Linked DNA regions of Canis lupus familiaris. The protein of the gene in region 3 interacts with the protein of the main gene of each other region in a pairwise test. Links are inferred from orthologs where the notes say so. Each region holds a gene or a part of one and is shown on either strand. Other genes may lie near its edges. The genes, in order: FAM107A, NEBL, CCDC136, HMG20A, RAB33A, PRPF31 and LENG1.

What was found.
Region 1: the proteins of CCDC136 (region 3) and FAM107A interact in binary tests that used the Homo sapiens proteins (3 or more experiments, as listed by UniProt). The two-hybrid records come from large-scale screens. The link is inferred for Canis lupus familiaris from reciprocal best matches to the Homo sapiens genes CCDC136 and FAM107A.
Region 2: the proteins of CCDC136 (region 3) and NEBL interact in a two-hybrid assay, tested with the Homo sapiens proteins (2 studies listed by BioGRID and IntAct). The two-hybrid records come from large-scale screens. The link is inferred for Canis lupus familiaris from reciprocal best matches to the Homo sapiens genes CCDC136 and NEBL.
Region 4: the proteins of CCDC136 (region 3) and HMG20A interact in binary tests that used the Homo sapiens proteins (3 or more experiments, as listed by UniProt). The two-hybrid records come from large-scale screens. The link is inferred for Canis lupus familiaris from reciprocal best matches to the Homo sapiens genes CCDC136 and HMG20A.
Region 5: the proteins of CCDC136 (region 3) and RAB33A interact in binary tests that used the Homo sapiens proteins (3 or more experiments, as listed by UniProt). The two-hybrid records come from large-scale screens. The link is inferred for Canis lupus familiaris from reciprocal best matches to the Homo sapiens genes CCDC136 and RAB33A.
Region 6: the proteins of CCDC136 (region 3) and PRPF31 interact in binary tests that used the Homo sapiens proteins (3 or more experiments, as listed by UniProt). The two-hybrid records come from large-scale screens. The link is inferred for Canis lupus familiaris from reciprocal best matches to the Homo sapiens genes CCDC136 and PRPF31.
Region 7: the proteins of CCDC136 (region 3) and LENG1 interact in binary tests that used the Homo sapiens proteins (3 or more experiments, as listed by UniProt). The two-hybrid records come from large-scale screens. The link is inferred for Canis lupus familiaris from reciprocal best matches to the Homo sapiens genes CCDC136 and LENG1.

What each region holds. Positions count from the first base shown.
Region 1 is NC_049241.1:32,298,413-32,302,483, reverse strand, and holds the start of FAM107A (actin-associated protein FAM107A), read right to left. Parts: upstream 2,801-4,071; 5' UTR 2,464-2,800; coding exon 2,440-2,463; intron 1-2,439. UniProt on the Homo sapiens protein: Stress-inducible actin-binding protein that plays a role in synaptic and cognitive functions by modulating actin filamentous (F-actin) dynamics. Mediates polymerization of globular actin to F-actin. Also binds to, stabilizes and bundles F-actin.
Region 2 is NC_049223.1:9,996,046-9,999,545, reverse strand, and holds part of NEBL (nebulette), read right to left. Parts: intron 1,669-3,500; coding exon 1,558-1,668; intron 1-1,557. UniProt on the Homo sapiens protein: Binds to actin and plays an important role in the assembly of the Z-disk. May functionally link sarcomeric actin to the desmin intermediate filaments in the heart muscle sarcomeres.
Region 3 is NC_049235.1:7,699,469-7,702,968, forward strand, and holds part of CCDC136 (coiled-coil domain-containing protein 136), read right to left. Parts: intron 3,426-3,500; coding exon 3,102-3,425; intron 920-3,101; coding exon 808-919; intron 243-807; coding exon 74-242; intron 1-73. UniProt on the Homo sapiens protein: May play a role in acrosome formation in spermatogenesis and in fertilization.
Region 4 is NC_049251.1:39,282,365-39,285,864, forward strand, and holds part of HMG20A (high mobility group protein 20A), read right to left. Parts: intron 3,407-3,500; coding exon 3,331-3,406; intron 2,617-3,330; coding exon 2,401-2,616; intron 1,724-2,400; coding exon 1,587-1,723; 3' UTR 1,581-1,586; intron 1-1,580. UniProt on the Homo sapiens protein: Plays a role in neuronal differentiation as chromatin-associated protein. Acts as inhibitor of HMG20B. Overcomes the repressive effects of the neuronal silencer REST and induces the activation of neuronal-specific genes.
Region 5 is NC_049260.1:102,208,457-102,212,607, reverse strand, and holds the start of RAB33A (ras-related protein Rab-33A), read right to left. Parts: upstream 2,801-4,151; 5' UTR 2,596-2,800; intron 1,973-2,595; exon of another isoform or gene 1,971-1,972; 5' UTR 1,931-1,970; coding exon 1,673-1,930; intron 1-1,672.
Region 6 is NC_049222.1:103,839,247-103,842,746, forward strand, and holds part of PRPF31 (U4/U6 small nuclear ribonucleoprotein Prp31), read right to left. Parts: intron 2,508-3,500; coding exon 2,338-2,507; intron 577-2,337; coding exon 419-576; intron 1-418. UniProt on the Homo sapiens protein: Involved in pre-mRNA splicing as component of the spliceosome. Required for the assembly of the U4/U5/U6 tri-snRNP complex, one of the building blocks of the spliceosome.
Region 7 is NC_049222.1:103,811,649-103,815,763, reverse strand, and holds the start of LENG1 (leukocyte receptor cluster member 1), read right to left. Parts: upstream 2,801-4,115; 5' UTR 2,741-2,800; coding exon 2,609-2,740; intron 1,712-2,608; coding exon 1,532-1,711; intron 907-1,531; coding exon 644-906; intron 26-643; coding exon 1-25. Other genes in the region: TMC4 (transmembrane channel-like protein 4), read right to left, coding at 3,244-3,321, 3,426-3,504, 3,800-3,955, 4,065-4,115.

The DNA.
Region 1 (4,071 bases), on a different chromosome or scaffold from region 3:
CTCGGTCTTCCCAGCTGTACAATGGGGAAGGGATTGGACCACTTTGCCAGGGGTTTTCCAGAACTGATTTTATAGCTATGGTTAAGCCATGAGTGTGGGAAGGGGGTCCGAGAAGCCCCCCAGGACAGCTCCGTGACCTTTATAGCACAGGCCAGTGGGTGCTAGACCTCAAACGGCCCAGGCGTGTCACAGACATCCTGCAGAGGCCAGCTGGGTTACTGCCTCCAGAAACAGAGCAGGAGGCATGTGTGGGGGAGGGCTGGGGGGTGGTCCACAGACGGGGGAGCCCCACAGCAGGCCTGGCCTGGGCCGGCTCATAGCCTCTGCTCCAGGCTGGCTCAGCCACTGGCTGGCTGTGGGAAGTCACATTGGCTCATGACTCAGCTTCTTCATCTGCCATGGGTGTGATGTTAATGCCCCTGGTGGATCAAAGGGAGGGTGTGAAGAGCTGACAAGGACGCAGGTAGGAGAGGATCAAACCCAGAGGGAGACGAACGTTGACTAAGGATCTACTTCATCCCCAGGCATGGTGTCATTTAGATTTTACAACAGTGTGAGAAGGATTATTATCTTTAGTCTATGGGGTTGGAACCTGAGGTCCTGTCTTGTCCACGGTCCCCGGGTATTTGGAAGAACTGACTCAGGTGTGTCTGACCTCAGAGCCCGTGTTCCCATTCACCCTCTGCGGCCTCTCCCTGGGGGGCAGCCTCTCCCTGGGGGCAGGAGGAGGGCCTGGGCCCAGCACATGCCTGCTTTTCAGTCTGGGGGCTAGTTCTGATCGGGATGCTGTGCTGAGGAAGATTCTGAGGTCATCTGGACTTCGTGGGAAAGGGTGTAGGGACCGATTCGTGAAGTTTGTCACCGGTGAGAGGAGAGAGAGAGGCAGTCTGTGAGCTGTAATTGCTGTTCCTAGGCTAGACCTTGTCGGGGTCTTTTCCAGGCCTGGGAAGAAGCCGTTCTCCAAGGTGACTGCACCTGCACAGGTAGGATCTAGAGGCTGAGCTCATTCTCCCTTGGGAGAGGGGAGAAGCTGGAAGAATGTTCCTGAAGGGGGCTGGGTGGGGCCAGGGTGCAAAGCTCTGCTGGGAAGGCAGCTCTGGGCTGTATCAGAGAAGACACAAGAACAGCAGGTGACCCACAACAGCAACTGGGGGCTCCCATGAGCATGGCGGGATGGAGAAGGGACAGCCCCAGGACAACAACCTTCTAGGATACTGCTGCTGGGGGTGCTGAGGGGAGGCAGGAGTTTCCAGGCCTGACTTGCACCCGAAACAAAGGAGGTTGGGAGCAGAGGCTGGTGCAAGGCGGCCCCAGGGGTTATCTAACCCAATGCTCATTTTCCAGATGAGGAAACTGAGGCCCAGAAAGCTTGTTCCATGGGGACTGCCAATGATGTGTTTTACTTTAAATTTGAAAAATGTGGGTTGGGCTCGGTTGGCAGAAAATTTAGAGTCATGCAGAACCATAGTTGTTTGAGGGTTAGAGCCCCCGTTTATTAGGGTTGTCTGGGTGACAGGCTGCATGCTACATACTTTATAGCATCCTCTCGTGGCCCCTCCCAAGGGGTGAGGACCAGCCCTACTTTACAGGTGAGGAGCTGAGATCCAGAGATCCAGGGGGGTTCAGTTCCTTATAAGGCAGGTGGAGGAGCTAGGGCCCAGGCAGCCTGACCTTACCGCTGGGGTCACAGTCCTGGTGATGTGGACTGAGTGCGTGTATAAGAATCCCTGGGGAGCCCTGCCTCCCCTTCCCCTGATCCAGGAAGTGTGGGTGAGCCCTAAGAAGGAGACTGTGGAGCAAGCCCCCTCCCATGCCCCATCTCTAATGCAGACACAGGGTCTCTATAGACCACATTTTCAGAAACACTGCATAGGCTCTGTCTACAAATCTCCAACTGAGAGCCCAGACATAGAAGGTGATGCATAAAAATGTGAAGAGAACTCTAATAACAGAACATAGCTTATATATAGCTCACTATGTGCCAGGCACTGTTTGAAACACTTTACATATATTTTTGTTCAGTTAATTCTCACTATAAGCCTCTGAGGTAGTGACTATTGTCCCCATTTTACAGATGGGGAAATGACTTACAGGAAGCGTCAGTAACTTGCCCACCGGTGCTCCCTGGCACACGGGGAAGGTGCGGCCACGGAGCCTGTATGCAGGGAAGTAGAGAGGTGTGTGTCTAAGACCAGAGAGCCTGTGAGGTTGGGCAGTCCAGGTCTGTTCCAGGGGTGGAGAGATCCGAAGGCTTTGTCCTAAGCCCCAGCTAGGTTTCTAGATGCAAATCTTGGCTGTGAGCTCAGGGAGGGAGGCTGGTGGGCAGTGCCTGGCTCAGGCCCATGGAGCTGGCAGGTAGGTAGATGGGGGCTCCCACCCGGTAGGTGCAGTCTCCCTCCCCATGTTCAGGGACCCAGCAGGACCCTCGGGGGCTCTTACCTTCTTCCCATGGACTGCTCCCATGGCACAAAGCGGGCACCAGGCCTGGGTGGGCCTTGGGGGGCCCGGCTGGGGTCCTCCCTGCCGATGCTGATCTCAGGAGCTGGGGCCCAAGGGGTTCCCTGGGCCAGGGTCCCCCGTCCTCTCGTGGCTCATTCTTCTCAGGCACAAAGGAGGCTTTCACAGCTGCTCCTAAGCCCAGAGCTCCTCAGACAGGCTTAGGGTGATTGATCCTGTCAGAGGGGTATGGTGTCCCCAGAGGGCCCACACGTCCTGTGGTCCCTGTAGCTCCTCACTTCCTGCACCCCTGCCTCTCTCAGGAGGGGAGACTGAGGCATCCGTGGGGAGGTGAGAAGCAAAGCCGTCCTCTCACCATGCGGCCGGCAGCTTGAGTACAGCGGGTGACCTCTGGCTGGCCCAGCAGGCAGGACTTGGCCTTCTTGCCAGGCTGGGCACCGATCAGCAGACAGGCCCCAGACAGTGGAGGCTGTGTGGACTAGCTGGGGTATGGGGCTCAGGGCAGGCTTGGCTTGTGTGGGGATGTAAACCTCGGGCTGGGCAGCAGCCCCATTAATAGTAGATCTTTGAAGACACTTGGGGGCAAGGGCTCTCGTGGAGCGGAGACACTGAGAGCAGAGTACTTCATTCAACAGGACAGTAGCCCAGCTGGGGAGGGCTGGTCTGGGCTTAGGCCAGGAGACTATCTGGAGGCTGGATTCCGGGCCCTGGGCCAAGTTCTCAAAGTTCCCCCAGCAGTTACCCTCCTCCTTACTTGCTACCCTCCTTCATTATTATCAACAGCATGGAGCGAGGAGGTTAAGGCCCGAACCAGCCTGGGCTTGAAACCCAACTCTTTCCTCACTGTTGTATGACCCAGGGGGTGGGGGTGGGGGTGGGGGGCATGATTTGACCTCTGGGAGCCTCCGTTTCTTCGTGTGTGTGCTCCTATAATCACACAGCACAGGGTTGCTCTGATGGCTGAAAGAAGTCGGTGTGCACAGCCAGAGCCATTGTTCTCTTAAAGCATAAATCAGATGATGTTATTCTCTGTTTTACACTCTCCCCCTTGACGGAAGAGGGGTAACGATGGCCCCTGACCCCATGGGGCCCTGAGGATGAAATGAGGTGACTTGTGTAAAGCTCTGGGCAGAGGATTTGGAGAATAGGAATTTTCCAGAGAAGTTAGGTGCTGCTTGTTATAATGCTGTTAATGCCACTCGTGATAAAACCACTGCCCATTGGCAAGTCCCAGGTAACCAGTTTGATTAAGCAGAACAGCCTTTCTTAAGAGATGGCTGGGCCAGGGAAAACTTGCAGCCCTGTCTTTCCTCTGTCTAGCACAATGCCTGGCTCCGGGGTGGTGAGGACTTATTGTACAAAGGATTATGAAATGGCAGTTGGTAGTGAAGGGTCAGGATCAAGTATTCTAGATCCACCTTTGCCCATAGAATCAAATTCCCCATGGTCCAACACAGTTCTGTTCCATGAAGTCTTGCTGGCCTCTCAGACCTCATTTCCCATTCCCCTCTCTGCCTGACAATTCCTGGATCATACCACCCTCCTCCTCACCCCAGCACCTTTGCACATGCTGTTCTCTCTGCTGGGAAGGTTTTCCATCTCTCTCCCTTGACT
Region 2 (3,500 bases), on a different chromosome or scaffold from region 3:
CTTAGAAGTCTGTTCTTAGGTGAAAGTCTGAAATACAAAACTTCTATTCTTTCCAAGAATCTGGTCCAATCTGCAAATTTCCATTCCATTTCCATGTCATTTGCATGTAAAGTGTAATAAAAGGTAAATGGTTTCCTATCCACATCCTTGTTATGAAACACTTAATTTTTCTCTAAGAATGAGGTAAAGCTATACAAAGTAACATGGAAAGGTTCCATAATATTAAGTGAGAAAACCAAGCACAGAACAAAATACATGGTATTTAAGGACTTTTTAAGTCTATGTGTGCATAAGTGTATGTTTATCTGTCTACACATAAAAATAGATCCAGCAGGATAAATTTGCAACAATGGCTATATTTCAGGAGGAGAATGGAAGGAGGGGTCCAGTGCCTATTCAGCATGCATCCCGCCCCCCCAAATCTGCCATTTCTAAGTAAAACCCCTATTGGTCAAGACTCCTATGCCATCCCCAGATTCTTGGTCCAAACCAATTATGACCATCCCATTACCCTGACCAGTCCCTAACCTGGGGCCGTAAGCGGATCCCAACACAGCAGTGACTCACTGGGCTCACTGGGCAGTTAATCAGCTATCTCTAGCTCTCCAGATTTCCTGGTGGTGGGGGGAGTCTATCCTGGGCCAGCTCTTCCTAAATGGAAGGGTCACATTATAGTTCTCAGAGGAATCCCACTAAAACTCTCCGCAGCCAGCCCTGAGGTAAGTGAGCAGTACTCCTTACCTGCATCTCAACATTCTCTTTTTAAATGTTTCTCAAAAAATCACCTCTTCCCAAATACTCTGTATTCCAATGACACTTCTATAATCTCGGAATTGCTGGAGGAGTTCAAGAGGTATGGAACTGGTTTTGGGGCATTTTCTTCAAAAAATGCACATATGGTCTGACTCCTACAACTTTGTTATCTGCTATCTATCATATCAGAGCATCTAAGCCAAAACTTCTAAATTAATATCCTGTCATTACATGCATTACACAAAGAGGAAAATATTAGATGAACGAACATGGTCATTCAGGATATATAGAATACTTCAATCCAAAATGCTAACCCTGTAGGAATTTCAGGCATGGTGATGAGGTCAACGGGGTATTTTGAGAACATGCAACCAAATTATACAGAAATGGTTATCACTGTCATGTCAGAGTCTCAACACAGAATTTTCAAGTTCTGTTCAGAAAGTTGGAAACACAAATACACCAAACAGCACATGACCTATCCTTAAAGAAAACATAGTATGAGAACATTTATTATAGTCTAGATGAATGTGAAATTTGTTGTATTTGTTGTATTGTAAAGGGCCTGTGTGTGTGTTCTAGTAAAATGCTTTCCCCCTCGTTTCTTAGATATTTAAAGAAAATGAGTAAAGCAGAAACCATATATTTTCAAACAAGCATGATGATCTGGAATGGTTTCCATTCCAAACTCTTAAACTATTCATAAAATTCTGGGGAATTCCATGTACTAATCAGGCTGTTAATATGATTTGCAAAGTTCCAAAATAAAGGTTTTAAGGCATCTGCACCATTTACTCTACTAACCTGACTAGCTATCTCTGAAGCTTTTCTGGCATGTTGTATTTCAAGGGTGTTGGTGCCAACCTGCATTCCTTTCCCTTTAATTTTTGACTCCAGGTCTTTCTTGTATTCTTTCTGTAAAAATAAATAAATAAATAAATAAATAAATAAATAAATAAAGCAACATTTTATAATATTTAGACACTCTGCAGACAGACATTCATCTGTAATCAAGGATACCAAAAAATGGCTGCACACATTTAAAAAAAAAAAGAAAGAAAGAAAACACGTTTTACATTGTACCATGAAATGATCACCTAGAACTAAGTTTCTGAACGGCTTAGAACTATATCACTATTCTCACTGAAGAAGGTTATATGAAGCTCTGAAGATTTCTTCTATACATGGTGAGGGAGGTGGGTTTAAATGAGTTGATGCTGTAGAAAGAATGCGGATTTTGAGGCCAGAGCACTCAAACTGGGAATGCTTAACATCTATGGTTTACTCATCTGCAAAATGGGGGTAATATTTCCTCCATGCACGAGCCCTCCAAGGATCAATGAGACTGCATATAACATAGTGCTCAGCACATAGTAGGTGTTCAATAACTGAAAACTTCTTTTGGTCTTTTACTCCTCTATTCATGTGCTAAGGCTGATTCACTGCTGTTCCTGCCGCTGTCATGCCATTCAACTGTTTCTGGATGGACTCTGCGCTTGAGAGTCTGAAGTGATATTTCCAAGTATTACTGACAAGTGATCACAAGATCGACCTCTTAATGTGAACTGCACATGTCACCATAACAGAAGAATCGGTCAGAATTACTAATTTAGGAATATGTGCTGATAATATTAACCAAAGACATGACAGTGGCTTTTAATGCTTTAATAAATTTAAAGAACACAGATACAGCCAAAGATGGCTATAATTTTTTAAAAAACATAATAATTTTGAATCCTTCTTTTAAAAAGATGTTTTATTATTTATTTGAGAGAGATAGCAAGAAAGAGCACAAGTAGGGGGTAGAGGGAAGGAGAAGCAGGAAGACTGAGTCGGGGCTCGAGCGCAGGACCCTGAGATCATGACCTGAGCTGAAAGCAAATGCTTAACCAACTGAGCTACCCAGGTGCCCCTTGAATCTTCTGTACTTACAGTGCAATTAAACTACCAAAGAAGTTAACTGAACAAATGAATGACCATGAGAACCATACTAGATCATCAGCACATTACACTCCTCTGGACCCAGACACAATGATTAGGGCAGGTGTAGATTAGGGCAGGATAGAAGTTGATCCAATGAGATTCATTCCTAGGACCTTAACTGTAACTATAAGAAACAGATGCTCACTTCCCATTGGGATTACTGGCACAGATGAGTTATCCCTCTGTTAGGAGGGGCCATAGCTTAGAGATAGCCTCCCAAGTTTGAAGCAATAGAGAAGATAACAGAACTGAGAGAGGAAGGAAGAGAGACATCATTCAAATTCCAACCTCAAAGAAAATAGACTTTGGACTTTCTCTATTCACAAGCCAAAACATTCCCTTTGTTGCATAACCCAGTGTAAGTTGGGTTCCTATCATTTGCAGCCTGACTAGTAGGGTTACCACCATCACCATTACAACAGTTTATAAGCCTGTGAGGACACAACTTTAAATTTCTCACCTCTCAATTCAGTCAGACTCTCCTCAAAGCTCAGTGCCATTACCTGATTCCAAAGTCATGACAGACGCCAAGGATGAAAGAACTAACAGCACTTCAGAGGCATTTCATTCCTTCCCACAAATTCCACGTAAAGTGAGCAACGGCCACTTCCATTTCATAAAGAGGTTTATGGGGCAGGGGGTCACTGAGCAGCCGAGGAAAGGGTTGGGGGACACTGCTGGGTCGTGAACAGGAGAGCACGTGAACCGCACCACAGTTACTGACGGATCATGACAACACGGTTCCCAATTCTCTGCCTTTCACT
Region 3 (3,500 bases):
TCTAAGGAGATGTTGCTACTGTAGGCCAGGAGAGGGTAAAAGAGAGACAGTGACGGTGCCTGCCTTCCCCTACCTTGTTCTGCATGTCATGCATCTGCTCTTCAGCTCCCAGAAGCTGTTGTCGCAACAAGTGAGTTTCAGGATCCGGTTCTAGAAAATCCATTTCTGAAGTCTGAGACTCTGCTGACATCATATTCTTTAGCGTTTGGGATTCCAGCCACTTTTCTGTTGCTCTTCGTGTCCTATAATCCAGAACCCCAGAACCATGTTTGGGAAAGTGCTCTGCCTGGCATCACCTGGTAAGGGTGCTTGGTCCTGATGTCTTTATTTTAGGCAAAGATGGTAAAGAGCCTTATATTGTGATTTGTCTTCCAAATAAACATGTCAAGAAGGTGAAGAAAAAGTCCCAGTACCTCAATCAAGGCATGCTTGGCTCTGGGAGACCTAACAATGCTAGTCTAGTTGGGCTCAAGGCTGGGCCTTGTATCCAGCCAGCTCTAATCTGGAGGGAGGTACTACACCATTTGACTGAATTCAGCCTGTGTGGACAAGAAAGGAATCACTGTGATCAACTCTAGGGCAGAGCAAACCAGACCCCAATCCCTAGAATGGAAGTAAACTAAATTTTAGAACTCCAGTCCTGAGACACTTGGCTCTCCATGTTTGCTTCTAAGTGGCATCTGTGGAAAAGACTGGCTGGGTAGAAGTAGAGGGACATTTATTAGCCTAGCATCTGCCTTCACTGGTTCTATTCAGAGAAAAGCCAAAAGCAGAGTCCTAAGAGTCCTCCTAGCCTGCTGGTTATACCTCTCACTCTCCAGATCCGCAAGCTGCCCCGTGAGGCTGCTGTTGCTCTCCTGCAGGGCCTGGTACTCCTCGTTCAGGAAGCGGTAGCGTTCTCGCAGTTGCTGCAATTCTTCTGCAGAGGACAAATGGAGACGTGTGAGATCCTGGGGAAGAAGCACTGGTAATCAGCCCCTAATTTTCCTGCTTAGAAATCAGATAGCAGAAAGCTGAATAGCTTCTCTTTTTCTAAAGACTGAAGAGACACCGCATGCAGTGGCTTAGAAGACAAAACCCCCCAAATTCCACACTGCTATGTGTCTTTATCCTCTTTCACATAGCTGCCTTTCTTCTCATCTGCCCAGATCTGCCCTGTGTACCCATCTTCAGAACCCCAACAGAGGAAGAGTCTTGAGATTTTAGGAGCTCGTGAAGGTTTTAATTGAGTTTCTGGGTTATTATATTTCAAGTTTCCATTGATGATTACCTTCCTATTACTCTTTTAGTACAAAAGCTGAGGGATGTGAAACTGCCGCGTCACACTGCCAGTCCTGGCCTTCTGGAGACAACCTGGGCATCCTGAACGTCCTTTTACTTACTTTATCACCACACCAAATACACTGGCCTGCATGTGGTCAAGAATTCATTCTGAAGATCTTTTATCAGCTGACAGAAGAGCCCATCCCCACCAGACCCACATATCACCTTCAATCATCAGCAGAGATCTGGTTGCAATGACCCAGCACATGTCCCTAAGTACCAGCTACTAATACTTTCTGGAGCTACAATCAAACAAACACCTCTATCTATTTTGTTTCTTCCTGATTAAGAATTATTTATCTTAGAATACCAATTCTACTGATATTTAAAGAATACTGACTTGCTCCAATTAGAACACAAGGTCTATCGTACCTGCTGGAAGAGTCAACACCCTGAAATTCACATCTAATGTTCCTTCTTTATTCCAACCAAAAGTTTTTGGAGTACTGCAGATTACCATGGAAGGAAGGAAGGAAACTAACTTTTAATATAAGCCAACCATGTGCTAAGCATTAGCACTTGATGGTTTCAGCCTTCCAGTTAGCTAGTCTGTGAGGACTTCAACATACTAGGCATTTCATTTAATCCCGAAAATAGTCCTGTAAGGTTTTCTTTCCCTTTTTTTTTAAATAAACTTTTAATTTTACAATAGCTTTAGAGTCACAGAAAAGTTGCAAAGATAGTGTAAAACTCCCTGGGAGAGCTCTCATCTCATTTCCCCTATTGTTAACTTCTTACCATGGGTACATTTGTCACAACTAAGGAATCAATATTCATACATTACTGTTAACTAAACTCAACATTTTATTCAGATTCCTCTCCATTTTCCCTAAGGTCCCTTCCTATTTCAGGATCCCCTCTGACTGTAAAGTTTTATTAACCAATTTTTACAGACACAGAAACTAAGAGAGAGACAATAACCAGGCCAAGTTCACCCCACTAATTAGCAGAACTGTGGTTCTGCACTCAGGTCTGTTTAACTTTGACCCAAGCTTTCCCACTGTGCTGGCCTCACTCTCCTGGCACCACCAGCCCAAATGCTCTTCTGAGAAACTTGTTACAGCTGGGAAAAAATCACAGTTCTTTGATTCCTTGTTGACTGCCTCTGCTTGACCTGGCCTAATACAGGGCCTCCCATTATACCCAAATCATAAATCTAGCCTCAGAATAAAGGCAAACTCTGATGTCATGAATCCTAGCAACTAGCTGGGAGACTCATTGTCTGAAAGCAGAGCTCTAAGCTTTTTAGTACTTCATGTATTACTGGAAATAACCTCTCTTCCTCTCCAGCTGTCTTGTGCTCTGATTTGTTGCCCCCTAAAGCTTCTACGTTGGAGAGGGCTCAAGGAGCCTAAGCATTAGCATCCTGGGACCTGGGAGCAGGACTGGAGCCCCCCCCACCCCCCGCCCATAACGCGCAGTCCAGGCAAACTGCCATGATGCCAGAGCTGCAGGAAGTTTCTCAAGGTGATCAACCCCTTATCCTGGAGACTTTCTCAGGAAGCGCTTTCCCATAGTTAAATCAACAAACGTCCAATGGCTCTCTGAGGAAGAATTCTCAGAATACACCTCCACAGTGTCATTTCTCATACCACCACTGACTGGTTATGTGACATCTAGATAAATTCTTCTCCCTTATGGTCTTGAATTAAACGTGGAGGTTTTTTCTAGAGGTTCCCAATTCATGATCTAAGACCACCTTCCACCATTTTCTTGGATACTAACTCCCTCTGCTCGGCTTTACTGGCAGGCCAGGAAGGGGGTTTGCCCTCTCATACCTTGCATCTCGGAGAAATCTGAAAGACTTAAACTATTGGATGGGTCAGAGCTCTTCATCTCCATTTCTGCACGGAGGGAGGTGATCTCCATTTCATACTCTCCCCGAATGCGCTCCATGTCATCGAGTTCATTCTGCATCCGGCAGAGATCCTCCTGCAGGGATGCTATGTCACTCTCATGTTCAGTCGCGGAATCCTCTGCTGCTTGCCGCAGATTATGGATCTCAGCCCGGGCCAAGTGCAACTCCTGTTCTATTTCCTTAAGTTCACTTTCTTTCTCACGCTCTAACAGGGAAATCTCCTCTCGTAGAGACCGCAACTCACCTGCAAAGCCCAGAGGTTGGGATGGTCAAGAGGATAAATGGACTTATCATGTTCTAGAAGCAGAAAGTTAAAGGC
Region 4 (3,500 bases), on a different chromosome or scaffold from region 3:
TTATTTATTCTCATACATTTTGCTTTACATGCTAGAATATGAGTATGTTTATGAGTGTGCTCGTGTACCTGCAGGACAAATAAATATTCAAACCCACGACTAGCCACTGTAAGGAGCATATCCTGTTGTCTACTTTTGTTTTTCCACCCTCACCATACGGTGCTAGGATTTCCACAGTGTGCTGGCATTGACCTAAAGACGAAGGGTTGCCAATTTGGTGGGATATGGCACATTACAGGGCACCCTAGCTCTAGGAATTTAAGTGAACACATACGAATTCTATTTAAGAAATGACACTTGATGACTATTAGTATTAAAAAATTTCTGGGATCCCCGGGTGGCGCAGCGGTATGGCGCCTGCCTTTGGCCCAGGGCGCGATCCTGGAGACCCGGGATCGAATCCCACATCGGGCTCCCGGTGCATGGAGCCTGCTTCTCCCTCTGCCTATGTCTCTGCCTCTCTCTCTTTCTCTCTCTGTGACTATCATAAATAAATAAATAAAAAAAAATTAAAAAAAAAATTAAAAAAAAAATTTCTATGGGCAGAGACTTTCTGGAAATGTACTTTCTTCCTATTCTATGAGGATATGACATGTACTACTAGTCATTTGTTGAATTTATTTTAGAAGGCTTATTTTCTCGCTCCTCTCTTTTTTGCTTACTGAGAGTTTATTTTTAAAATCGGTTTAAAGTCTTTTTATTTTTTATTTTATTTAAGTAAACCAACGTGGGGCTGGAACTCACAACCCTAAGATCAAGAGCTGTATGTTCTTCTGACTGACCCAGCCAGGTGCCCCCACCACCCCCTTTTTAAAAGTCTTAATCTCTTTAAATAGGGCAATAGCTGTTTCACTGTAAGGATAGTCCACATTAACATTTAACATACAATAGTTGCTCTGATATTGAGTGCTGAATGAAAAGCTTCTTACTTCCGTAGGTTTAGATACATACAATGTCTCAGTGACTGCTGTTGTAAGTTATCATTAGTATTTTCCAGGGAAAAGGAAGCTTAACAATTAAGTGATATTTATTTTGTTCTAAGTGCTGTTTTGGGGGTGATTTCCCTAAACTTCTCATCCACTCTTCCATTTTTTTTTTTTTTTAAGATTTTATTTATTCATGGGAGACACAGAGAGAAGTAGAGACACAGGCAGAGGGAGAAGCAAGCTCCCTGCAGAGAGCCTGATATGGGACTCGATCCCAGGACCCCAGGATCACGACCTGAGCCAAAGGCAGGCGCTCAACCACTGAGCCACCCCACTGCTCCCTCATTCACTCTTGAAAACCCTTTGGGAAACTAACCCTGGAGAATACAGCTAATAGCTAACAATGCTGGAATGGAGGTTCAACCACAAAAAAATCATGCTCTTTCCATTAAACCATGCTGAGGCATGCATTAGAAAGAAGTCTTTTCTAACATTATTTACTACATTTAGTAACCATGTAAAAGTAATTTTAATCAAGCCTCCAACTCATTTACTTGATGTAATGCCAGGGTTTTAGTAGCATTGAGAAAGTCTACTGTCTTCTAATTTTTGATGATGTGTTGGCACATACATATTGCATCAGTGAACACTCACCATTCCCTAACGATCAAGCCTGTTCACAACTTCTCGAACTGTAGCTATGAAATTTTCATTGTCTTGGGGATTAGCTAAAATAATACTGTGCAGTCTGTTCATATATGAGTCAATGGTGTCCACCGTAGGTGTCTCTCCACTTCCTGAAGTGAGATAAGGAGAGAAAGTAAGAAAATCCTCCCTCTTCAGTTCGACCAAAGCACACTTAAGTGACTCCAGAGTAAACCACTCTAATGTGGTCTGTTCCACAGATAAGATTTTCATTTCAGAAGAGAGACTTTTAGACCTCAAAGAAATGAAATTAATCCACATATCCTGAATAAAAAGATGGGCTATATAACTGTTCTACAGTATATATGAGTAGCTGCATATAACAAAAAGTTAGAGATGCTGTGATTATCCTTAACATGAGAGAGGATATAAAAAATACCAGTGTCTGTTTTCCTCTTCCTTCCTTTTAAAACAAAATTATAAAGCTATCAAACATATATAAGAAAAATGCTCTACTCAGGATTTATTACTCAGTTTCTACCATTCTGAATATCAAATTAACTTAAGAGAAAGATAAGTAAATTATATTAAAATATAATTAGAGAAAAATTTAAATGATCAGAGAGCCTGAAAATTTGGATGATTGTAACCAATACCGAGATACTATTCGAAGACCCACAGAAACCTCTGAGGAAAGAAAACCCTTATTTTATTGATTTTCCTCTTGGTGGGGAGACTTCAGCCTCACCCCACTAATCCCGAGCGACACAAGACAGCACCTGCTCCTTTCCCCAGCACCGAATGCTCACTCATGTGAGGGTGACATTACCAGGCAAGGGCATGCTGGCAAAGCTGCTGGTCAACACCTGCCGCAAGGTCTCCAGGTGCTGTTGCAAGACGGTGTTGCGGCTCCGCTCCTGGATCACGTCCACCTCCAGCTTCTCCACGGCTGTGCGCATGCTCTCCACGTGCTTTTGCAGGGCTGCATTCCTCTCCTCAAACTCCATGTTGGATTTCCGGAGCTGGCGGAGCTCGGCCTCCCGAGCTGGGGACACCCCCCCCGCACACGATACATGTAGCGCCGGGAGTCTCCGAGAGTCCCAAAGGCGCGTGCAAGGAAGTTCTGCTTAGCTGTCTAATTAGCTACCCCACCGCATCTCCCTATTCTCATTACAGCCTTCCAGATAGCAATTTCAGCAATAAAATGCCTGGTTCCCCAGAGCTATTTTAATTCTTAAAGCTGGTCATATTCCTACTTAAGATTGCAAGGAACAGTTGCAATTCTTGGTATTTGTTTATTTTGTTTTTAAAACCGCGCGGGGAGAAGCCTGAGGGGCTTCACAGGCGGACCCTGGGAGACGGAGCGAGCACAGCTGCGGGTCTCTATCTTTACTGCAGTGGGGTCAGCTTTGCTCTTCCTTATTTTGTATTCTGGATGCCCATGTAAGCTTTCATTTGTACAAAGGGTTTCAGGCTAAGAGTCTGAAAGCAACTGAATTAGTGATGCACATTTACTCCCTTTGATCCAGAGATTAAAGTAGCTTTGACAAAACTGGCCTGGCTTGCTTTCCTTCCCTAGTTTTTGAGTAGCTACCTTTACTACAAAGTGAAATAGAAACAGTTTTCTCCTTTCAGAACAGTCCTAGGGTCAAGAATATCACTACCACCAATTTTGAGCAATGAATCCCTCTGAGAATGAAATCTCACCCCCCCACCCCCCCCAAACCTGAGAAACACAAAATGACACTTTGGCAATTACCTTTGCTGTGGTTCAGGAATTCCTCTGTAAATATAGGAATGTCAAAAACAGACCGTTCCTTTACCTCTGTTTCTTTCTGAGAATCAAGAGTAACAAAACAGTTAATTCTTTTTCCCCCTTTACTCTCTTATTGAGGTAGAGTAGACAAACAATGTTACATTAGTATCAGG
Region 5 (4,151 bases), on a different chromosome or scaffold from region 3:
CACTATTTTAAAAAGGTGCCCTATCTTACTGATGCTGGGGCTCAATTGTTCTCCAGAGCTCTCCCTTACCAGTACTGAGCTGCCCATCTTCCTGACATCCAGTGCCTCTGCCCAGTCTCTGAGGCCATTTTAAAATACATCCATTTAAGAAATAATGATAAAATAAAAACACAGTCATTTTAATAATCAAGGACTCCAGACTTGTGCACGGTTTAGAGTGCTTCATCATTCTCCCTACTACTACTCAGCCCTTCTCTCCACATCACTCAGAAGAGGGGCCTTAGGATCATTTGGGCTCTTTGACCAGCGGGAGGGAGGGTGACCTTCACCCAATAGGGTCACACCATAGCTTCAAGAGAAGACCAGCTGTGGGCCTGGTGGAGTTGGTCTTTAATGTTCAGTGCCTTTTGAGGTGCCTTCCTGCCCATCATCCTGCCCCCCTCTGCTCCCCTGACACATGAAGCCGCCCTTGCCATGTCCTCCTTCTGCACATAGGAATATTTCTGCACAATGAACTATTTCTGCCCTGTCGAGTTTCTGCCTTTTCTGAATCAAAATGAACATAAATGGTCAGACAAGAATATCGTACTTTGCCTATTTGATAAATAAACTAATGAAGGGGGGAGGAGCAAGACACTTTCCCTTGGCCTTCAGATAAGTTGCTCTGCATTTTTACAAAGACCTGCTGAAGACAATACCAACAGAATGAGCAATGAAGCAGTTCATTCATTAGGTATCCCAGAAAAAAGAAGATAGCGTTGGAAAGAGACTGCTCCAAAAGAACAAGTTTGTTATGAAGGACTGGCGGGTGACCCTGTCTCAATTGCTTTAAAAGGGCTCATGGCTTTGTGCCAGAACCACCCCACTTCACCCCTATTCCACCTCAGCCCTAATCTTAACCATAGGCTGTCATTTTTTTAAATATTTATTTATTTATTTATTTATTTATTTATTTGATAGACATATATAGAGAGACGCAGGAGGAGGGAGAAGCAGGCTGCACGCCAGGAGCCCAACGTGGGACTCGATCCTGGGACTCCAGGATCGGGCCCTGGGCCAAAGGCAGGTGCTAAACCTGCTGAGCTACCCAGGGATCCCCGGTAGGCTGTCATTTTAAAATAAAGTGGTTTTCATTCACTGTGAATTTCCACACACACACACACACACACACACACACACAGCTAATGCCTCAGGGCTAAGCCAAAGTGGGTTTTTGCAGCCCATTCACACCCAAGAGGTAAAAGAGACTCCAGGATGTGTAAAGTGCTTTGGGATCTATCCCACACACCAGGACCAAGAGATGCCTCATGCCTCCCTCTGCCCTCTGCCCACAGGTGCCACTGCTCCTGGCTCAGGGTCAAGGATGGGATCAGACAGGCTTTCCCTGTGGCAGATGTCAGGTAGGGGCAAAGGGCAGGAGTGTATCCACTCTCGCCAGCCCTAAAAAACAAAACAGAACAGAACCCCCCAAAAAACAACAAAACAAAACCCGGCGAGGTGGAAACCAGGCCACTGAGAAAGGTGAAAGGGAGGGAATGAGGAGGTGCTGAGGGTCTTGGGCTCTGTGAGCGGCGACAGGGCCACGCGCTGGAGGTTTAAACCAGGAGAGCAATGCCTCTGGCGAAGCCCCCTCCCAGACCCCTCCCTTCCCGGACCTGACCATCTGGATCACCTTGATCTTCTCGCCCTCGATTTCCACGGTCTTCTCCCTGAAGTCCACGCCAATGGTGGCCTCTGTCTTGTCCGGGAAGGTACCCCCGCAGAAGCGAAAGGTCAGGCAGGTCTTGCCCACGTTGGAATCCCCAATCACGATGATTTTGAAGATGCGAATCTGCACGTACTGGTCCAGCGACGAGTCGAGCTCCAGGGACGCCAGGCCCGCGGCTGAGGCGGGCTGCAGGCTCCCATGGCCCAGGATGGGCTGCGCCATCTCCCCCGGACCGGACCCGGGCCCCAACCCCCCTCGAGGGCTCCACACGGCCACGTTAGTGCGCTCGAGGCGAGCGAGCTTTGTGCGTGTGTGTGTGCGTGTCTGTGAGTGTATGTCCGCGCGTGTGTGCGTGCGCCCGCAACGTGTGCGCGCGCGCGTGAAGGGGGTGCCTCTCACCCCAGGCCCCCCTCCCTCGCCAGCGCACCCTCCTTACAGCTCCCAGGCACCAACACAAAAGCCAGGAAGCCGGGGAGAGAGGAGGGGAATGAGCCGGCCGCGAGCCTTCCCCTTCTGCCTGTGCCCTCGGACGGGACGCTCGGGCAGGCGCTCCTATGGCGCTCCCCGAGAGGCCGCCGCCGCCGCCGCCGCCGCGCCTCCACCTAGACCCTCCCCTGCCTGGACCCCAGGGACACACCGGAGGGAGGAAGCCGAAGGAGGGAAAGGAGGGGGTGAGAGCGGCACACGCCGCGAGGGAAAGGTCTTCCTTTCTCCTTGTCCCCATTTATTTTATAGGTTGCGGGCTCCCCGCCCCCACGTTCTCGGAGCGCACGGGGCCATTGGGCTGGGAGCACAGCTGGAGAGGACAAAGAGAGCTGCACCCTAAAGCATCTCTGGAGCACTTCGGGCCCGGAGCTACACTACTTGGGGGGGAGGGGCAGAGATACCTCTTTCACCTCCCGCGTCTCCTCGGCCCCTTCCCAGGCCTTGGGATAAAGAGATACTGTCTTATTGAGTAAGCAGGTGCACTCGCGCGCCCCAAGTAGCCGGGGGGGGGGGGCGCTGCCAAGACGTGCCGTGGGCTGTGGGGGCCCGCGCAGCTGACACGAAGGAGCCAGGGGCACGGGTTGTGCGTGTGTAGGGGGAGTTACTGTCTCTGTCACCGACTGCCAGATGTAGGGGGGCGCGTGCCAGGCGCCAACCTCCCCTTATCACACCACGAGCACCCATCCTCTGAATGTTCAGGAGAGCGGTTTCCATTGGCTGTCGCGGTCGGTTGTGTCTGGCTGGCCAATGGGGAAGGCCCGCCGCCGGAGAGGGCCATACAGGGGGTAGGAGAAGGGGGGAAGCTAGTGGTAGCAGCTCCAGCAAAAGGGAACCTTGTTTCCAAGGCTAACCATTACAGACCCAGGTGGAGGGATCTCAGGAACTGGCATAAACCTCACAGTGTCTCCCATATGATATAACGTCCGGATAAGAAGTCCTTCCAGAATGGTGGAGTTTCAAAAGGAATTGGAACACACACACACACACACACACACACACACACACACACACGGGAGGGTTCAACCCTCTGCAACTGAATGTAGAACAAAGTGGTTGGGTCTAATTTGCCAGAAGCCTGGATTATGCTTGGAAGATGATAAATGAACAGAACTTTCTTACGGTATTAAGGGGCAGCTTCCCAAAGCTTACTAAGCATCATACATCTTGGTGGAGACCTGCATTCCTTCTCCTGAGGGTGATTTGCAGGTTCATAATTGGCTTGTTTGAAATCAACTTTACTGAGGTACATTTTACATACAATAAAGTGCACCCATTTTGTTTGCTTTTACGACTTTATCCCTCCTCTAACGCATTTCATAGGCTAAGGCAAGGCAATATTGACATATGTCAGTAGCACGGACATACGAGTTATTTGCTAATGCCATCAAAGTCAGGTTTCCAGCAGTGCACATGCACTGCCATCTTACTTGTGTGTGAAGCTGAGTGGCAGAAGAGACAAACCTGGCAGTCCATTCCCCCTATGAGAAAAACAATTTAGTGCATCGGTGATAGATCTGTAAGCAAATTGGAACGTGATTCCTCAGCCAAGTCCAAGTTACTCAAAATGGCTGGGAAAACTTGGGGTCTTCTAGTTAATAAGCTTTTTAGCTGAGTTAGCAGATATATTTATAGCTAACTCTTTTCCAATACACGTGAGTCACCCATTTGTAAAACCCTAGACTATACTATTCAGTATTAAAACCATCTCGAGAACAGAATTAACTCGAGAAGGATTTAATCTTAGGTGGCTAATCCAAGGTCATCATGATGAATACCAGCTACTGTTGTACAGTATGAATAGCAATCTTCACTGTACAGTATTTTGGTTTTTTGATTGGCTGATGTCTAAATATAGTTTGCTGCATCATTCTCCTCTGTATTTACAATGCTCCTGGTGATCATTATCTACAGAAGAGTAGTTATAAAAGGGGAGGGGTAACTATTAATTAGGCATATC
Region 6 (3,500 bases), on a different chromosome or scaffold from region 3:
TCAACTTGGAGTCTGTACACCCCTCTAGTGGGCTACTGAACCCAAGGATGGCTTGGAGACCCCTACAACTTGCAAGCTAATGACATCGCTTGTTATGTGCAAGACCTGGAAGTGTTTCATATAGGAGTCCTAATCACAACCCCAGGAAGCAGGTTCTATTTCCCCCATTTTACAACACTGAGGCACAGCTCATGCCTCTTGCCCAGTTGTTAAGTAGAGCTCCAGAATCCCTACCCCTGTACATCTGCTCTGGGGTCCTTGTTCCTATGCCCCGTGTGACCCTATCCTCTGAGCTCCTAGTCAATGGGAACTGAGGAGCAGAGGGGGCAACTTGCTTGGGCTCACACTGCCCTCTGGACAAGGCTGCTTCTGGCCCAGCAAAAGGCTCTGCGGGGAGCCACATGCCAGTGGCACTCACCGGGGGCAGAGACTGCACAATGTCACTGTGGTAGATGTAACCAGTGTGGGGCAGCACAGACGTGGACGAGAAGCCGGACAGCGTCTTCCGCTGGGCCCCAAGCAGCATGATGTTGCAGGCGGGCATCTTGGAGAGGTTGGTCAGGCCCCCAGCCACCCCTGCAACAGGAAGGAGGGAAACAGGTCAGAAGGAACACAGGACATTTGTTTGGGGGCTCACCGAATGCTTTGTGCCTTTAGGTGAGTTTCTGGTTGAATTTCTGGGTGGGCTCTGCCTGGGAGGGCCTGATAAGTCCCCTTTCAGAAGGAGGATTCAGAGGAGGCTCAGAGAGGTGAAATCACCTGCCTGAGGATGGAAAGTGAGGCAGCAGCCCAACAGGAACTTGCCCCCAAGTCTGCAGAGCTACACAGCCCCTGCTCTGTTTTATAACAGTTACCACCATACTGGGGACACCCTGATGACAGGGCCTAATGTGAATCATCTCTGGGTTCCCGTGAGCGCATCTGCAGGCCCAGGGGAGGGGAGGAAGAGCTGTAGGTAAAAATGCCTACCTCTGACAGGGGTCTGCTTGTGCCAGGCCCTGCACTGGGCGTTTTTAAGGACTAGGTCAACTGTTTGATCAAACACACGCTTCCCACACAAGCATGGCAATCCATGTGTGAGCAGAAGAACGCCCCCCCCCACACACACACACACAGACATCACAATCCCTACAACCTATGACCCTATGCAGATATAATTATGTGAAGGACCTTGAGACAGGGTAGTGGAAGGGAAAGGCAGAGTCACAGGCATGTGAAACAGGAGACTTTCAGGTGGGAGGATGCAGGAAGCTTCTAAAAGCCAGAAAAAGCCAGAAGTGGATCCCTTCCCGGAAACTCTATACAGGAACTAATACCTTAATTTTAGCCCCGCAGTCATAGGACAGGAGCAAAGCCCCACACCACCAGGGAAACCAAGGTATGAGATGTCACCTGCCCAAAGATGCGAGGTCAGCGAAGGGGGAAGGAGGATCCACACCTGATAAGTTTATCTTGCTCTGAAACCACTGCCTCCTTCTGCCCTGCAGCTATGCACACACCTGCCACCCAAGGCTGCGCTACGAGCTAAGCTGTGTCTCCCTGAATTCCTGTGTTGAAGCCCTACACCCCAGTACCACAGAATGGGACTGTGTTTGGAGACGGGCCTTGAAAGCAGTGATTAAAAGAATGACATCATTGGATGGGTCCTGATCCAGTGTGACCAGCATCCTCGTAAGAAGAGATGAGGACACAAACAGGCAGAGGGGAGGCCATGTGAGTAGATGACCACCTACAAGCCGAGGAGAGAGGCCTCTGCAGGGCACAGCCTGCTGACATGCTGCTCCTGGCCTCCCTGCCTCCAGGGCTGTGTGACAATGAACCCCCGGTAAGGCCCCCACTGCCTGCCCCGACCGGCGACACTTTGTTAGGGCAGCCTGAGCAACCTAGCACAGCTGTTTTACCAAACTCCCCCAAAGAATCCCTCAGCTGAGGGGGCTAGGAGCCCAAGAGGGCATGCTGGCAGATGAGGCACCACCCTCAGCCCTAACACATCGTCCCGACTGGCACCCCACCTCATGCATGAAACCGAGATCCTAAGAGCTGACACAGCCAGTGCCAGGCAGCCCTAGGGTCTCTGCAGAGCTGAGGAGGGCCAGCCTCTCCAGCAGCCATGCTATCTCCTCCTGCGCCTGCCTAGTCCAGCCTGGCTCAGGGCTGCCATCCTTTCTCCGTGTGTGCAGGAATAGCAGGCTGGGTGACTTCTGTGATCTCTAGGAGGGATGACAGGATGAGGGTGAGGGGGAGTAGGGTCCTGTCCCGTAGAGGAGGGACGTGGCTTCCTCAAGGTCACACTGTCCGAGGATGGCCCCATATCTCTACCGCACCCCAGGGCCTCACCCATGATCTTAGCGGCTGTGGATGCCCCAATGATGATGGAGAGGTTGGGCGCGATGAAGGACATCCGAGACTCCACATATTCGTAGATGCGGTGCTTAGAGGCGTTCAACTCTAGTGCCATGTCACAGGCCTCCTCCAGCCGCTCTAGCTCCTCCTCTGACAGCTGTTGCCTGCAGTGGTTAATGATGTGACTGGGTTGGACCCCTGCCCCTCCTGGGGATCCCACTTGACCAGCATGAGAGCCCGTGTCCTCCTAGCGGTGTGTGCACGTCTGTACACATATGTGCACGTCAGGGCAATTCCAAGTCCCGTCAGCCCTAAGGCCTGGAAGCAGGAGCTGCCAGGAACCTAGGGCACCACCCTTGCCGGCCAGGGCCTGCCTGCCCATGCCAGTCTCTGCCAGGTGCAAGCCGGTGTCAGAGCCTTTGCCTGTGGGCCTCCACTACTCTTCCTCATCCTCTAGGTCTCTGCCTCGCCAGCCAGAGGCCCACTGTTACCAGCTGCCAAACTGTGCCTGTTTACAGCCTCCCCACTTTCCGTCCACTTCTGACGGGAGACAGTCAGCCCCTGAAGAGGGACCCCACACCTGATCCTCAGCAGCATGGCCAGCCCATCTCTGGTACATGGAAGATGCTGACCAAGTACTTGTGGAAGAAAACCACAAAGGGGGGCTGTTATCACTGTCGTTTTACAGAGGGGGGGCCCGAGGGTGAGATGGCAAAGGGGACTGGCCAACCCGCAGAGCTGGTAACCACACCCAGCCACACCCTTCCCTCAGTTACCCCACCCACGCTGTAAAGAGCACTAAGGGGGACCATGGAGGCTGCCACAGGCCCTGCAACCAAAGTCCAGTGGGTTCATGCTCATAGCTGCCCCCATCAGGGACAAGCTAGAGCCCACTTGTTCTCCCACTAGAGCCTGGTCCCTGCCTGAGATGGAGTCGTCACCTCCTCCAGGAAGCCACCCAGCCCAGCAGGATAAGTATCCCTTGGCACCCCATCTGCACTCTGACACTTGCCCTCCAGCTTGACCTGTGTGTGCACCTGCACCTGTTTCCTCCTAGACAGGAGCTCGGGCAGAGCAGCCTCCCGCCTCCCCTTTGCAAACTTCTCTAATCTTTGCCCTCAGAACAGTTCCCCGTGCTTGGCTGGCATTTATTCAAC
Region 7 (4,115 bases), on a different chromosome or scaffold from region 3:
TCGAAGCTGGTCCAGGGATGGGGGTCTGGGGGGAGAACACTCAGGTCAGAAAGCTTATAGCCCCTAGAGGTCCCACTTTCCCCCAAGAAGGAGCTGCCCCACCTGGAACCCCGTCCACCTCTACCTGCTCTGGTCTGAGAGGTTTGTGGGTAGGAAGCTGGCCTCATGCTGTGCAAGGACCCAGGACTGCCATCACTGCCCCTGATGCCCCTCCAAATCATGAGCTATGATGATGAGCACAGCCAGGACCTCAGTTTCTCCTTCTGTAGGAGCTAGGAGACCTGCTCAGGTTTGTCCTCCTTGGGACACAAACCTGCTCTGACTGACCCCGTGGTTCTCAAACTAGACCCCAGAAAGCTTTGTGTCAGTGGGTTTCATCTATTGCTATTTTGCATAGAAGCGAGAAAACCTTGAAACAAGGTTACGTCCCCAGTCACCACAGTGTCTCTTCACGCCCTGTCTCTTTAGAAGCCACTGGACAATCAAGGCTGAGTGAAGGGTCACAGGGGCTCAGGAAAACCAGCTTGCCTCTGCAGACCCCCTGCTAGGGCGTTGGAGCCCCAAAGCCACACGTGGCGAGCCGCCTCCCCAGGCCCCCAGCCCCTCACCCTGACAGCACCAATGCAGCTGCCCACTTCCTTACACTTCAGGCCGCTGCTTCTCAGGCTTCTCCTTCCCCTTCCTGCCATGGCCACCATTGTCCCCACTGTGCCGTCTCTTCCTCCTCAAGTGCTTCTGTATCTCCTGTAGAGGGTCCAGGCGGTTCTTGATCTTTTCATCTGGACCTGGGCTGAGCTGGGGGGCCCCTTGCCGTGGGGGTAGCTGATACCAAGGCAGCTGAGTCTGGGCTTCTGCTGCACTCTGGCCCAGGTAGGTCAGGATGCCCAGAGCTTTCTCCTGCCTCTCCTGAGGGGGACAGAAAGAGGGAACTGAGGATGTCAGCGATGTCTCCACTCAGGGAGCCCTACCTGTGACAACAGAATCCCCCAGGCTCCTGGACAGGTAGAAGCAGCATGAGTCAACTCAGCCATTTTTCCAAGGACAGGTGGGCCTCCTGCACTGGGCAGAGTGTCAATTCAATAACAAAAAACACAAGGGGGAAGGACAGGGTGCAGCTGCTTTAGGGTTCAGAGGCAGCATCTTTGGGGAGATACTTTAAAGATGAACCTGAAAGCCCGCCAGCAAGGCAAAGGAGTGAGGCGAGACAAAGGCAAGTTCAGAGTTTGGTGGGAACCCCTGAAAGTGGGTAAGTGACAGGACCCAGGTTCTGATTTAGATGAAAAAGCTTCCTAATACACCTCCACAGGGTCTTGACATCAGCCCAAGGGGTCTGTACCTGACAGTGCCGTGCACCCACTTCCAAGCCCCTGCAGGGAGGGTGCCAATAACCCACACTGGGAGTGCTGTGTTCCAGTACTGAGTTCTCTGTGTCAGCTCATTTCATCCCCACCCTACCTCTCTGTTCCCATCAGTCACCCCAGACTTTACCCCTGACTGACAGGGACGGGTGTGGGGGGGGCGCGCAGCTTACTTTCTCCTGTCGCTTTTCTTCCTCATACTCTCTATTGCCTCTGGTCGCCCCTTTCCCTTCCTCCAGCAGCTCCCGAAATAGGTCCACAGGGCCAGAACTGGGGGCTCCCGCCTCTGCTGCTTGGAGCTCAGGTAGCGAGTGCTGGTGCCTGGCTTTCTTCCGTAGGAATTCTGTGCGGGCCTGGGGGAAAGAAAGTTACAGGCAGAGCATTCATTGCCTAGCCATGCCTCCAAGAACTGTGAGACCGGTGCCAAGCACAGAGAATCCCCGTGCTGGTGCTGAGGGCTCATCAGAGCATCACCCAGCCTGGGGGAGAGGATGGGAGAATGAGGTGACACCTGGGTTTGTACGCTGCCTTTGGTGAACCAGAAGGGTTTCCCAACCTCAGCTGGCACAATAAAAACAGCTAGGAAGGCAGCCCAAAATTTGCGAGCAGGCGACCAGAAATACAGTAAGGCTCCAGATCACTGTCCCTCGACCACGTGCAATCTGCTGACCAAAGTGAGCTTTAAAAGCCCAGACCACCTCCCGGCCAGCGGTGAGGGCCAGATTCGTTAACAAACTTCAAACTCCGTGCACACTAGAAGCTAGAAGTTACTCCGAGAACCCCCGGGGTTGGGGGCCGCGGGGAGAGGGCTGGCCCCACAGGGGGATGGGTACGTCCCACTTCTCTGCACAGCGGAGGGCAGTGCCCTCTGGGCACGAACAGAGCAGGTCCAGCGCTCTGCTCGGGGCGAGCATACAGCAGACGCTCCAGAGGGGTCGGGCAGGAACACTAAACGTGGGTCTGCGTTTCTTTGAACTGCACAGGATTCATTTTTTCAGCAGCCCCTACTCTAAGCCAGGCACACCCCGGCCTCACGCAAAACGAGTGGCGGAAACCAGGGCAAAGGGGAGGCCCAGGTGGGGAAGCCTCAGGTAGGGCCCGCGCAGGCGAGCCCCTGCGTTTCCAACCGCGCCCAGCTCCTCCAGCCTCACGGGAGGCACTGCGCGTGTGCGCCATCCCGCTTCCGGCCCCTCCCCCACGCGCCTGCGCGCTCGGCCCGGGAGTCGCGTCCGACCGCACTCGGGGCTTACCTCCTGCTGAGCGAGCAGCACCCTCCGCTCACGTTCTTTCTCCTCCTCTCGGGCCTGAGCCTCGTCACGCCGCACGCGGGCGACATTGTCCTTGTTCCGGACGTGCCAACTCTTCTTGGGCAAGATATTCATGGCGTCGTAGCCGTCCACCGACTGCAGGCCCACCTCTGAGCACTTTCTATTGGCGAGAGGATGCCGTTCCCTGTTGTTCCTGCCTCAGCTACGGATTGGCCCTGGGCTGGCTGCCACGCCCCTCCAAGTCCGTAGCGAGCGCTGATTGGCTGAGATGCCGAATTCGGGTTGGTGTAGCCTGGAGACCGCCTCTTCACCAGGTCCTGAGCCAATCACTTGTCCCCGCCCTGAAGCTACGGGACGCGGCCGCTGATTGGCTGGCCTTCTCGAGGCCGATAATCTGATTGGCCGGCTCAGGATGCAAGTTACAAACAAAGCGCTCTGCAGTCTCAGCGGCGTTTATTGGTACGAGAAAGGTTAACGCGAGAGTGAGGGGGTGTCAGGGCCCCGGAAATCTCCGCAGCCGGGGACTTAGGGTCTTCTCAAGTTCTCTTTTACAGATGAGGTGCGGGCTTCCATAGGGTCCGGGGGCAGGATGAAGTGGGCCATGGTCCCGAGCAGGGCTAGGGAGGTCGAAGAGCCCCGGTGGCCGAGCTCAGTGCCACAGCGCGCTGTGCCAGGAAGACCTTATTCTGCGCCTCCTGGGTAGAGGTAAAGGGTAAAGAGAAGTGCAGGTGAGGCCGACCGCTCCCCACCATTTCTTTCAACATCCAGGACCCCCTACCATGAACCCGCTTTGCCTCACCGTCTCTATCTGGCGTTTGAGCTCAGAGACCAGACGTCCATAGGAGTTAGCCAAGGCCAGGGTATATGCCATCAGGATGCTATAGGGACGGAAATGGAAGCCATACCCAGGGGGCTCTTAGCATATCTTCAGTGTAAAGGCTCCTTAGAAACCGGGGATCTGGACTCCCAGCCCCACCCCACCCCCGCCAGACCCCTCCTCCCTCAGACCCGGGAGTCCAGGCTCCTCCAACCTCAGACCCAAGAGTCCAGGCCCCCAGCCCCCTCCCTCCTCAGACCCAGGAGTCCTGGCCCCCAACCCCTCCTTTCTTAGAAACAGGCAGTAGGGGCCCCCAGGGAACACAAACTCAGACCCAGGATTCTGGGCTCCCTCACCTGGAGATTAAGAGAAGAGGCACAGCAAAAGCCTGGGTCCCCAGGAAAAAGAGAAAGTTCTGGACGGTCTGAGGGAGGTTGGAAATAGACTCAGGGATCTGGGCCCAGATAGACGACTGCCCTTGGAATGGACCACACAGCTTAGAAGGTGGGATCCTGAAGAAGTCAGAGACAGTGTTCAAGGATGGCCAAGATTCAGAATCCTGGATGAGGGTGGAAGGAAGGAGGGAAGGAGAAGGGAGAGGCAGGCCCCTGCCACACTTACAGGAAGATGCTGTAAAGCACGGGAACAGCGGAGATGGCCAGAGCCAGGAGA